3 linked regions of the Schizosaccharomyces pombe genome follow. Changing the gene in region 1 together with any one later gene gives a genetic interaction. Each region holds a gene or a part of one and is shown in the gene's direction. Other genes may lie near its edges. The genes, in order: gmh1, otg3 and otg2.

The links.
Region 2: mutations in gmh1 (region 1) and otg3 impair growth when combined (synthetic growth defect), as found in Schizosaccharomyces pombe (one study listed by BioGRID).
Region 3: mutations in gmh1 (region 1) and otg2 impair growth when combined (synthetic growth defect), as found in Schizosaccharomyces pombe (one study listed by BioGRID).

The regions. Positions count from the first base shown.
Region 1 is NC_003424.3:162,768-166,951, forward strand, and holds gmh1 (alpha-1,2-galactosyltransferase Gmh1), read left to right. Parts: upstream 1-1,960; coding exon 1,961-2,950; 3' UTR 2,951-3,568; downstream 3,569-4,184. Other genes in the region: SPOM_SPAC5H10.10 (NADPH dehydrogenase), read left to right, coding at 193-1,371; alpha-1,3-galactosyltransferase Otg1, read right to left, coding at 3,653-4,184.
Region 2 is NC_003423.3:3,118,184-3,122,493, reverse strand, and holds otg3 (alpha-1,3-galactosyltransferase Otg3), read left to right. Parts: upstream 1-1,968; 5' UTR 1,969-2,136; coding exon 2,137-3,267; 3' UTR 3,268-3,657; downstream 3,658-4,310. Other genes in the region: alpha-1,3-galactosyltransferase Otg2, read left to right, coding at 90-1,208; proteasome core particle subunit beta 1 Pre3, read right to left, coding at 3,867-4,275.
Region 3 is NC_003423.3:3,120,271-3,124,315, reverse strand, and holds otg2 (alpha-1,3-galactosyltransferase Otg2), read left to right. Parts: upstream 1-1,867; 5' UTR 1,868-1,911; coding exon 1,912-3,030; 3' UTR 3,031-3,545; downstream 3,546-4,045. Other genes in the region: cytoskeletal protein Syp1, read left to right, coding at 1-112; tif306 (translation initiation factor eIF3f), read left to right, coding at 510-1,418; alpha-1,3-galactosyltransferase Otg3, read left to right, coding at 3,959-4,045.

The DNA.
Region 1 (4,184 bases):
TTCATCTATTTCAATTCCTCCTAAACTTCATACACAAAAAGATTTATAAGATCTTCACTTCTTTTGTGAAGTTTTCAATTTTATTATTTTCCTTTTGATATTCAAGGTATTTTCGTCTTTAGCGCTACCTAATAAATTTTTTTTGATCAAAATTCTCCATCAGGTCTGCTCTTTTCTTTGATACACACCAGGATGGCTGTTCAAAAGTTATATGAATCGCAGAGTAAATTGTTTCAGCCCATTAAGGTTGGTAACATGCAACTTCAACATCGAATGGTTCACGCACCGGCTACCCGTCTACGATGCTTAGATAATGGCCTTGTAATGACAGATCTTGTGAAGGAATACTACAAGCAACGCAGTTCGATTCCTGGCACATTACTCATTACAGAATCATTATTTTCAGGCGCAAAGTCGGGAGGCTTTAGTAATATCCCTTGCTTGTACAACGATGAACATGTAGAAGCTTGGAAACCAATTGTACAGGCGATCCATGACAATGATTGCTTTGTGTTTATACAGTTTTGGAACCTTCCTGGAGAGCTAAAGGTCGATTATCTTGAAGATCAGGAAAGGTTGGAAAAAGTTACACAAGGGGAATGCCCAATGGATCCTACCGGATTGCCTGCTGCTCTAGGCAGTGCCTACTCTATTTGTGGAGAGGAGCTGTATGTCGATAAATTTATGACAAAACAAGATATACAGGAACACATCACAACGTATACTGAAGCAGCGAAACGAGCTGTTTTCGGTTGTGGTGCAGATGGTGTTGAAGTTCATCAAGTGAATGGATTTCTTTTGGACAAATTTGTACTAAACGGCTATGGTGACAAATGTGATCCGGAATATTGTGGGTCTTTAGAAAATCGTGCTAGATTTTGCCTTGAACTTCTAGAGTCTGTCGTGAATGCCATAGGTCAAGAGCGCGTTGGATATAGGATTTCTCCGTTTTCAGATATTTGGAAAGACAAGGATTCTTTTGAGGCACACGTGTTTATGATAAAAAAAATAAAGGAGAGGTTTCCTAATTTGGCCTATTTACATGCTATCGAACCTAGGCAATACTGGAATGGGCATGTGCATATAACGCAAGAAAAGAATACATTGATCTACAAAAACCTTTGGGGGGATCCATTTATCACTGCAGGTGGACATGACCGAGACTCGGCCATACAAATGGCTGAACAAGAAAACACTTTAGTAGCGTTCGGGAGGTATTTTCTATCAAATCCAGATCTCCCATTCCGACTCAAGTATAACCTTCCCTTAAACAAATGGGACCGCGCAACTTTTTATACAAAGATGAGTCCTAAGGGTTATATAGACTACCCATTTTCGAAAGAATTTTTGGATACCAAGAAGGTTGAGTGAATGACAGCGGGTAATTTCGCTAGACCCTTTTTAGTCATCAAACAACTTGTTACAGGTGCGAAGTAAAGAGCCAGTACTAGACGACTTTTTTTTTCCAATAATTATTTCCAACATTTTAAGAATTACAATACTGATACTACCTGAAAAATATTTGGAAGCTTTATTGTACGTTTTAAGACATATTGTTTCGCGAAAGTGTAATAACGGAACAAATAATAAACTTCTTGTCGGAGATTTTCTTATGTATTGCTGAAATAATTTTTAGTTTGTTTTAATCCTGTAAGAATATTCATCGTTGAGTTTACTTTTCTAGTTCAAAGCTCGCTTAACTCAACCTAAATTTACACCACGGATAAATTGTGATGTCAATATGCAATGAAGCCGCGTTGATAATTATTCAGTCATAAATATTCAATATGTTCAAGTCCAGATAATTACACATTATATCTTCAGAGGCTTCAATTTTTTACGAACAACATCAATTTTTTAAAACCTGAGCATAATCTATAATTTTATAAACGTAGTTTTCCGAAACAACGAATCACTCTTTTATTAATTTGCAGATCAAATCACTCTTTCACAAAACAAAATGCTTTCCTTTTTTACAAAAAATACCTTGACTAAAAGGAAGCTTATTATGTTAGCTTTGGCTATAGTTTTCACCTTTTTTGCCTTCGGGCTATATTTTATTCCGCACGACGAGATTTCTGTTTTTGATTTTAAACTTCCTGCACTTCAATATGAAACTACGGTGACATCTCTCGATAATTTTTTGATCGGCGGAAGCACAACTTTGTATACAGCAACCGTTAATCACGAAGATCTCAATGAACCAAAATCACATGAAATAGTAATGCTTCTTGCTAGCGATGGAAACGTTGGAAGTTTTGAATCTAACTTACTAGATGATTGCTTTAAAAATCGTATAGAGTATGCGAAACTTCAAAACTACAATTTTGAATTCGTTAACGTTTCCAGTCTGGTAGTGCCACCTGTATGGGGAAAGATGCCCGCAATTCTACAAACAATGCGCAAGTATCCATCCGCAAAATGGATCTGGTGGCTAGATCAGGATGCTCTTATAATGAACAAAAATCTGTCCTTACAGGAATTATTTCTCTCACCTGCAATGCTCCAAAAATCATTGCTTAGGGAGCAACCAATTATAAACTCTTTCGGAGAAGATAATTTCAGAATCACTCCAGCGGCTTACTCCAAGGAAATGATAGAACAAATACAATTTCTAATTTCTCAGGATCATAACGGATTGAATGCAGGAAGCTTTTTAGTACGAAATTCAAGATCCATCGCTTTACTAATGGATTTATTGACTGATCCTTCTTTGGCAGATGCAGGAGTCGTGCGTCATGAACAAGATTTGATCGGCTATTTCATTCAAAAACACTCGCAGGTAGCTTCCATGGTTGGCATTCTTCCTCAAAGATTTATCAATGCTTTTCATGAAGGACCCCCTACAATGCAATGGCAAGAAGGAGATCTAGCTCTTCATTTCGCTGGATGTTGGGTTGAAAACAAATGCGCCGAGTTATGGACTAAATACAAAGATAAAATAATTTAAAAGGCTAAATCAATGCCCAAGTGTCGGCGCGTTATAGCCTCTAACATTTTCAATTGCATTTACAGTTAATTTATTATTACTATTTATCTTTTACTTCGTTATATTAATGCCGTCTTATTTAAACATAAATGATTCGCTCCATAAATAATTATGAAGCTGCACATTTTTACAAATCTAATTAATTTTCTTAAAAAAGAATAAATTCTATAAAATGCTTCAAAAACAACCCTCTAGACATAAAGTATCTTTTTCTAAAAAATATTAATGTCTAACACTAATTAAACTATCCTGTTTGGACCTCAGGCTAGTTTAAGCATCAAAAATTGCTAAACGCTTGTGATAATAATTAAAATTGGGGTTTGTTCATAAGGTCTAATGAGTCCATAATGAAGGAGAGATGAGAGGTATATTAAAATCAACCGCAAGTCCAAAATTATATTCTAAAAATAGGCTGACCGAAAGCAAATCACCGCTAACGGGATTTATAGACAGACGCAGGTAATAAAGTTGTATACATAGCCAGCAATCAAAGAAAGCTGAAGAGATCTAAACAATGTGCGTTTAGACAATAAGGATAGCAAGTCTAAAATAAAATTATGGTAATAAGTTAAAGAAATTTTCAAATATATAACATACAATTAGATTTTAACTTCTAATTGTAAAATAAGGTCACAATACAGAAAAAAGAAAGGTATTCCTCCTTTAATGAGTTTCATACTTATGAAAAGACAGCATTTCGCCATAAGCAGCATACCAGTCAGCTAAATATACTGGTGCAAATTCTGAGCTACCAATATTCCAGAATTTTCCGTGTGCTGTTTTTAAGAGAGGACGTTCGTCAATTGAGGGCCACACGCCATTGTAATAAGGATCAAGACGAGTCCAGGGAAACCATCCGTCCAAGGAAAATGCAAGATTCAACAAGCTTTGCTCCATCATTTTGGCATTCTCATACATATAAGGAAACCTTCCGATTTTAAGTATACGGTTAAAATGAAGCTCGCTTGGACGTATAAGCATTAAGCCAGCATTGAAATAAGGAGTATCTTCTGGAGGTATACTATGATGCTCTCCTCTATCAGAGACGGCTGCGAGAAGATAAGGGTAAAATTCGCTTCGACTGGCACCATATTCTTTAAAATCCTCATTGAAGTGATAGACGGTATCATCATCAGGCTTCGTGTAGGAAGGTAGCCGTGTATAGTTCAAGGTATTAATTTGTTGGTACATATAA
Region 2 (4,310 bases), on another chromosome or scaffold:
GATGCACCAACAAACATTAAGGGAGTATGTAGAGTAATTCTCTCCGAAAGCACCACCATTTTATAATTTGGCAATCAATTGCCATTAAAATGCGTTTATATTTTAGTGCTTTTCGCCATCCCAAACGACTAGGACTGTGTTTACTGATTACCTTGAGCATTATTTTATTAGGTTGGCAATGTGTTTTGCTATACAATCATAGTCCAGAAATACAAAGGTCAGTTTACACACTGACAGGGTTGGCGCCCTCTTCTAAGATGGCATTTGTAACTATGCTTACTGTACGCGCCGCTAATGGGGAAAACGAAGTAGAAAATACGCAACAGGATTGGTATTATAATTCAACTAGGCTTCTCGTTCACCGACTTGTCAAATTTAAACCTACGAAAAGCAAGTATCCCGTTGTAGTGCTAGCCATGAAGGGAATTGATCAGTGGAAGCTTGATCAATTGCAGGAAGACGGAGCTATTGTTAAAGTAGTCGATCCACTATATGCTCATGAAGTGGTTGACGATGTCAATGACATTGCCCTACTGGATTCCCGATGGAGTATGATGTTTACCAAGTTGAGAGTTTTCGAAATGTACGAATATGATAGAATATGTTTTCTTGATAGTGATATTTTGCCTATTAAAAAAATGGACAAAGTTTTTGATGTTCACCAACTCTCCTATAGTAAGGATTCTGTTCTGTTTCCTCCCACCCTATTCTACAAGCCTAGGCGCAGCATTTTTTGGAGACGCTTTACAGAAGAGTTTGCAGCTTACGGGCTGACAAGAGACGATCTTTATCCCTACGTTTTCGCTGCTGTGTCCGATCCAGGTATGTGGCATGAAACTCCTCCTCCTTTTAAAGATTATTTTAATGCTGGTCTATTCGTCTTTAAGCCATTGAAGGCACATTATAAAAGGTTAATGGCATTAGCAAGGTTTCCAAAATTGTATGATAATGCAAACATGATGGAGCAAAGTTTGCTAAATTTTGCATACAATTCAGCAGGTGCTTTTCCATGGGAGTCACTTGATTGGACTTTTAACGGACTTTGGGCTAGAAAAAATGACTTACCATATCTAAAAGCAGTTCATGGAAAACATTGGCAACCAGAAGGAAGTCTAGGTTATGATGAAGACACATCCAAGCTATGGTGGGATGCGTTTCAAGAAATGCAAACGTATCATGACCAACAACGTAATGCTGATTTATATTAAACAGATGAAAGCAATTTTCATGTCGTGATCAAGTAAAAAATAAGGCGGCTTTTGACTTTTAAGAAGCAGTTATTTTCATTTAATGTATTGCTGACAACACGTACTGTTGAAAGGCTATCTCATTTTTACAGTCATTCTAAAATAATTTGTGTTTCCTCCGTCCTTTTTTAAAACCACTATACTATTCAAATTCATATACACGATCGATGGGATTCTGGATACAGGTAAACCATAATCAAAAAAATAGCTTCCTCTCTGTATGCAAATTAGATCACGTATGTTTAAAACTCACTGAAAGTTCAATGGTTTCAAGAAATTTTGCTCCTTCTTAAAAAATTCCTAATTAGTGTAAAGAATCAAGTGTTAGTCCTATCATCAATTTTAAAATTGTAAGCAAACATGTTATAAATGCTTTTTCTTTGACCAAAGGAAAACCAACGGATTTATATAAAAATTGCTAATTAGTGAGCATACGTATCCTTAGCATGTTTTTCATTTTTAGATTTCAATAAGACATTTGAAAATGTTTTAGGTAGCAAATCTATTTAAAAGTTGTTTTAAATATATATATCAAAGAAGGCTTGGTTTTAGATAGAGTGAAGATGGGATAGAAAATATCAATAGCAAGTAATTGATAAATTTTTTAAACCTTTTAATGTCAAATAACAAGTACTGTAAACTCAAATAATCTTAAAATTTTACATGAAAAACTATACTTCGTACGCATTACATCGTACCTTTAGTCTCCTAAATTGTAGTCAGCCACTACCAAACTCAATAATACAAACTACATTATATTTATTGTATTAAACCTAGCAAGTCTTAACGAGATATAGTCAGTTATAATCCTAGGGTTTTTATTATTCTGGTGGGGATTTTATAGCTATAAACGAAGTTGCGGAAAGCGATAAAATTTGCTTTATAGAATATGAATTTCTTTAAGCGGTTACGCTTACATACCAGGCTTCTACTTCGCTCAAAATTTGTCTTGATTTCACTAATTCTTTTGCTGAATTTGGGTTTACTTTTAGGGATCCAAATATATCGGGATCCCGCATTTCCTGGATCGCTAATTTCATCGGCAGCCTATGAATTTGGGCTTCATAAGCATGGCCCATATTATAACGATAATGTAGATGATTTAAAAAGGTATACATTTATGGGCTTACTTACCCTTCCTACTTCAGAACATGATGTATACTTCAATGCTACTCGAGTACTAGTATACAAGCTGAAACATCATCCTGAAACGAAAAGTAAATATCCCGTTCATGTCCTTGTTATGAAAGGGGTTGATGAATGGAAAATTGAACGATTGCGACTTGATGGGGCCGAAATAATTATGGTCGATCAAATTAAAACTGAAGACTTAATTGAAAGTGGTTTGTCTATTGGCATGGGCAGTTATCGTTATCAATACATGTTCACAAAACTCAGTGTATTTGAGCAAACACAGTTTGATAAGGTCTGCATTCTGGATAGCGATCTCCTAGTATTGAAAAACATGGATGACATTTTTGATACTCCCTATGTTTATGAATCTCCTGCAGAACCCGATATGTTTAGCTTTCCTATCTTTAAGAAGCCAGATGATGAAGAGGATTATCAGTTTAGCGACAATTTCGATGCCTATGGTGCTCCTCGCTCAGAATTCTATCCATATCTTCTTGGCGCATGTGACGATCGTAACCCTGGACATGCGACGCCCCCAGAAGAATCTGAAACTTTTAATGCCGGGCTGATGCTTGTTCATCCCAGTAGTCTTCATATGCATAGGATTAAGAAGATAGCACGTTATCCTTATATGTATGACGATGCTAGAATGATGGAACAAAGTTTATTAAATCTTGCTTATAATAAATATGGTTGGTTTCCCTGGACGAGGCTCGATTTTTCATATAATGGAGTTTGGGTCACCGAAGAGGACTTACCCTATCTTCGTGCTGCTCATGGTAAATTTTGGGAATATGACAACACGGAGTTTCCCCAAATTTTGACTGCCGAGTGGCATAAAGCGTTCGGAGAGTTGCTGGCTTTTCATGACTATGTTGTAGAATAAAAAATGAAGGGGGGCGTTTATCTTTAATGTTTTCATGCTTCATTATTTTTTTGTCCCACTTCCATTCCTTGACCTGTAACTACGGTGTACCTGTTGAAGAGCTTAATACATATCTCACCGTGTATATTCTTACCGTTAAAGTTTGTTCTTTTCACATAATTTCTGCATTCAATTTTAAACAAAAAAAGACACATCATATTTTATTCTTCTTTAGAAGGGTCTACCGGTGTTCGGACTAATTTTATATTTTACATGGCTGATTACAATTTTCTTGTATGAAGCTGATAATCAAAATTTTAAATGTGCTTGCAGGCATCTTACAACATTTTTACTCTTATGACAATTACATAGGACTCATAACAATAATATTCTTTCACTATCAACAATATAACTACACTTCGGTAGTTAACTGTAACTATAAAAAATCTTTCTATTTTAATCATCACAAAGACTTATCTCACTGACCAGAAAAGTAACTTTTCTTCATGACCTTGCACTCCAAAAGCTACAAATAATGAGACAGGCATTAATAAGGTCAAGTCTAGCATAAGCATTGGGTATCAGTATAGTCACGTAAAATAAAAGGAAACGTGAAGTACTTAGTGAGTAAATACGGGAATAGGGTTAGCAGTATCAATGGCAAAAAATTTACGCTCCATTCCATCTTTATTTAAAATGACCATTCGAATGGTACCACCACTGCTGCCATCGCGTTCCATGGCTAAAGCAACAGCGTTCTTTAAAAATTCAACAGCCTCCTCTTGGGTCATATTTTCGCGAAAGTTAGCATCGCAAAATCCATAAATAAAAGCAGAACCACTTCCTCCAATAGCTAAAGGTTGCTTATGCAAACTACCACCTAACGGAATACTGTAAACATCTCCCCCAGTTTTTTCATCATATCCAGCAACAATTAAACCTGCACTAAGCATATTTTTGTTTTGATAACACATTTCAGAAGCTAAAGTAGCAGCTGTATGAACACTAGGGTCATGGCCAAATTGAATACTTCATAATCGTTAGATAATTTTTTTAACAACAAT
Region 3 (4,045 bases), on another chromosome or scaffold:
TACTTCTTCTAGTGGAGGTTCTCAGCTAGAAAGTGCTTATGAAGAAACGAAGGTTCCTACTTCCTATGGTATTCATGTTCGTGAGTGCTCTGTTTTTGCTGATATGAGTTAAATTACTGTTCATTATTAGTCAAGAAAAAGCAAACTGCTTTTTTGGGTTTTATGTTTACACTTTTTTGCTAACCGAATTTTTTGAACATTGTATATATATATAAATGATTTTTAACCAGAGAATGTACAAATGTAAATAGTTATAGAATTTTGAATAAAGAGTTTCTCATTATTGTACGTACAAATGAGACATTGTTAAGGAGATTTTTTAGATTATTCAACGCAACTGAAAATACACTTTCTTAAATGGTAAACCTTAGAAGTTAGGCGAAAAATAGTGTCTTCAATTTAACGAATTCTATGAGACTGTAAACTAGTACAGTAAAATTATTATTGATTGGGGAACAATACCAGATCTACCTACCTGAGAGTAGCCAACAACGTGAAAATTTTAAAAAATGGCTTTGGGGACTAAGCACGTACTCCATCTCACAAAACCGTCTTCCAGGTCAAGTCCTTTGAACATTGTCATTGAACCAGCAGTGCTTTTTTCTATCCTTGACCATTCAACCCGGAAAAGTGAAAATAATCAACGTGTTATCGGTACACTTTTGGGAACACGTTCTGAAGATGGCCGAGAAATTGAGATTAAAAGTTGTTTTGCAGTTCCTCATAATGAGAGCAGTGAGCAGGTAGAAGTTGAAATGGAATATCATCGTGCGATGTACCATTTACACCTCAAGGCTAACCCTCGTGAAGTTGTCGTTGGTTGGTATGCTACTTCTCCTGATTTAGATGCTTTCAGTGCACTGATTCAAAATTTATATGCTTCTCCTGCTGAACCCGGAACTGCTCCACTAGGAACGTATCCTCATCCCTGTGTTCACCTTACTGTCAACACAGATGTTAGCAGTCCCCTTGCCATCAAGACTTACGTTTCTTCACCAGTAGGTATTACAGAGCGCCTTGCTGACAGCTGTGCATTCGTCCCTACCCCTTTTACCATTCGTGATGACGAGGCAGTCCGTTCTGGTTTGAAAGCTGTAGCTGCTCCTAAGAATGACCCATCTAGACTTGCTAGCCTATTCACAGATCTCCAGCAACTTCGAAGATCAACCTTGGAGCTTTTATCTATGATTGAAAGAGTTTCCGATTATGTGCAAAACGTAATTGATGGTTCTTCGCCTGCTAATGTTGCTGTCGGTAGATATTTGATGAAGTGCTTTAGTTTAATTCCTTGCGTAGAAGGCCAAGATTTTGAAAAAATTTTTTCATCACATCTTCAAGATGTTTTGGTTGTAGTTTATCTCGCAAATACCTTACGTACTCAAGTGGATATTGCTTCCCGTCTTAATTTGCTTCCCTAAGCAATTGTTATAACCTAAAAAATCCGGACAATTTCTAACAGTTGTTCGATAGCCCTTTTTTCAAGTCACCGTTATTTTATCCTTTTTTCACACTGGCTGTTAACCCTCAGTGGAAGCAACTGTCTTTATCTCGTCATTCACCCATTTCGACATAGTTTGAGTAGCTTAGCTTGTCGGTAACTATTTAGTATTATACTATAATTGGTTTAGGTTAAACGTCTTATTAAATAAGAGAAAATTTTAAGTCAGAGTCATGTATCTTAACATTTCTTATAGTTAAAATAGTAAGCTTGTTTAATTTTTAAACATTTGATGTTTTTACGTTATAAAGTCGATTTAATTATGTTATTTGTTTTTCAGGGTGTTGAGTTTGTTTTGGTATTGAAAGTAAGCAAAATGTGTATGATGCACCAACAAACATTAAGGGAGTATGTAGAGTAATTCTCTCCGAAAGCACCACCATTTTATAATTTGGCAATCAATTGCCATTAAAATGCGTTTATATTTTAGTGCTTTTCGCCATCCCAAACGACTAGGACTGTGTTTACTGATTACCTTGAGCATTATTTTATTAGGTTGGCAATGTGTTTTGCTATACAATCATAGTCCAGAAATACAAAGGTCAGTTTACACACTGACAGGGTTGGCGCCCTCTTCTAAGATGGCATTTGTAACTATGCTTACTGTACGCGCCGCTAATGGGGAAAACGAAGTAGAAAATACGCAACAGGATTGGTATTATAATTCAACTAGGCTTCTCGTTCACCGACTTGTCAAATTTAAACCTACGAAAAGCAAGTATCCCGTTGTAGTGCTAGCCATGAAGGGAATTGATCAGTGGAAGCTTGATCAATTGCAGGAAGACGGAGCTATTGTTAAAGTAGTCGATCCACTATATGCTCATGAAGTGGTTGACGATGTCAATGACATTGCCCTACTGGATTCCCGATGGAGTATGATGTTTACCAAGTTGAGAGTTTTCGAAATGTACGAATATGATAGAATATGTTTTCTTGATAGTGATATTTTGCCTATTAAAAAAATGGACAAAGTTTTTGATGTTCACCAACTCTCCTATAGTAAGGATTCTGTTCTGTTTCCTCCCACCCTATTCTACAAGCCTAGGCGCAGCATTTTTTGGAGACGCTTTACAGAAGAGTTTGCAGCTTACGGGCTGACAAGAGACGATCTTTATCCCTACGTTTTCGCTGCTGTGTCCGATCCAGGTATGTGGCATGAAACTCCTCCTCCTTTTAAAGATTATTTTAATGCTGGTCTATTCGTCTTTAAGCCATTGAAGGCACATTATAAAAGGTTAATGGCATTAGCAAGGTTTCCAAAATTGTATGATAATGCAAACATGATGGAGCAAAGTTTGCTAAATTTTGCATACAATTCAGCAGGTGCTTTTCCATGGGAGTCACTTGATTGGACTTTTAACGGACTTTGGGCTAGAAAAAATGACTTACCATATCTAAAAGCAGTTCATGGAAAACATTGGCAACCAGAAGGAAGTCTAGGTTATGATGAAGACACATCCAAGCTATGGTGGGATGCGTTTCAAGAAATGCAAACGTATCATGACCAACAACGTAATGCTGATTTATATTAAACAGATGAAAGCAATTTTCATGTCGTGATCAAGTAAAAAATAAGGCGGCTTTTGACTTTTAAGAAGCAGTTATTTTCATTTAATGTATTGCTGACAACACGTACTGTTGAAAGGCTATCTCATTTTTACAGTCATTCTAAAATAATTTGTGTTTCCTCCGTCCTTTTTTAAAACCACTATACTATTCAAATTCATATACACGATCGATGGGATTCTGGATACAGGTAAACCATAATCAAAAAAATAGCTTCCTCTCTGTATGCAAATTAGATCACGTATGTTTAAAACTCACTGAAAGTTCAATGGTTTCAAGAAATTTTGCTCCTTCTTAAAAAATTCCTAATTAGTGTAAAGAATCAAGTGTTAGTCCTATCATCAATTTTAAAATTGTAAGCAAACATGTTATAAATGCTTTTTCTTTGACCAAAGGAAAACCAACGGATTTATATAAAAATTGCTAATTAGTGAGCATACGTATCCTTAGCATGTTTTTCATTTTTAGATTTCAATAAGACATTTGAAAATGTTTTAGGTAGCAAATCTATTTAAAAGTTGTTTTAAATATATATATCAAAGAAGGCTTGGTTTTAGATAGAGTGAAGATGGGATAGAAAATATCAATAGCAAGTAATTGATAAATTTTTTAAACCTTTTAATGTCAAATAACAAGTACTGTAAACTCAAATAATCTTAAAATTTTACATGAAAAACTATACTTCGTACGCATTACATCGTACCTTTAGTCTCCTAAATTGTAGTCAGCCACTACCAAACTCAATAATACAAACTACATTATATTTATTGTATTAAACCTAGCAAGTCTTAACGAGATATAGTCAGTTATAATCCTAGGGTTTTTATTATTCTGGTGGGGATTTTATAGCTATAAACGAAGTTGCGGAAAGCGATAAAATTTGCTTTATAGAATATGAATTTCTTTAAGCGGTTACGCTTACATACCAGGCTTCTACTTCGCTCAAAATTTGTCTTGATTTCACTAATTCTTTTGCTGAAT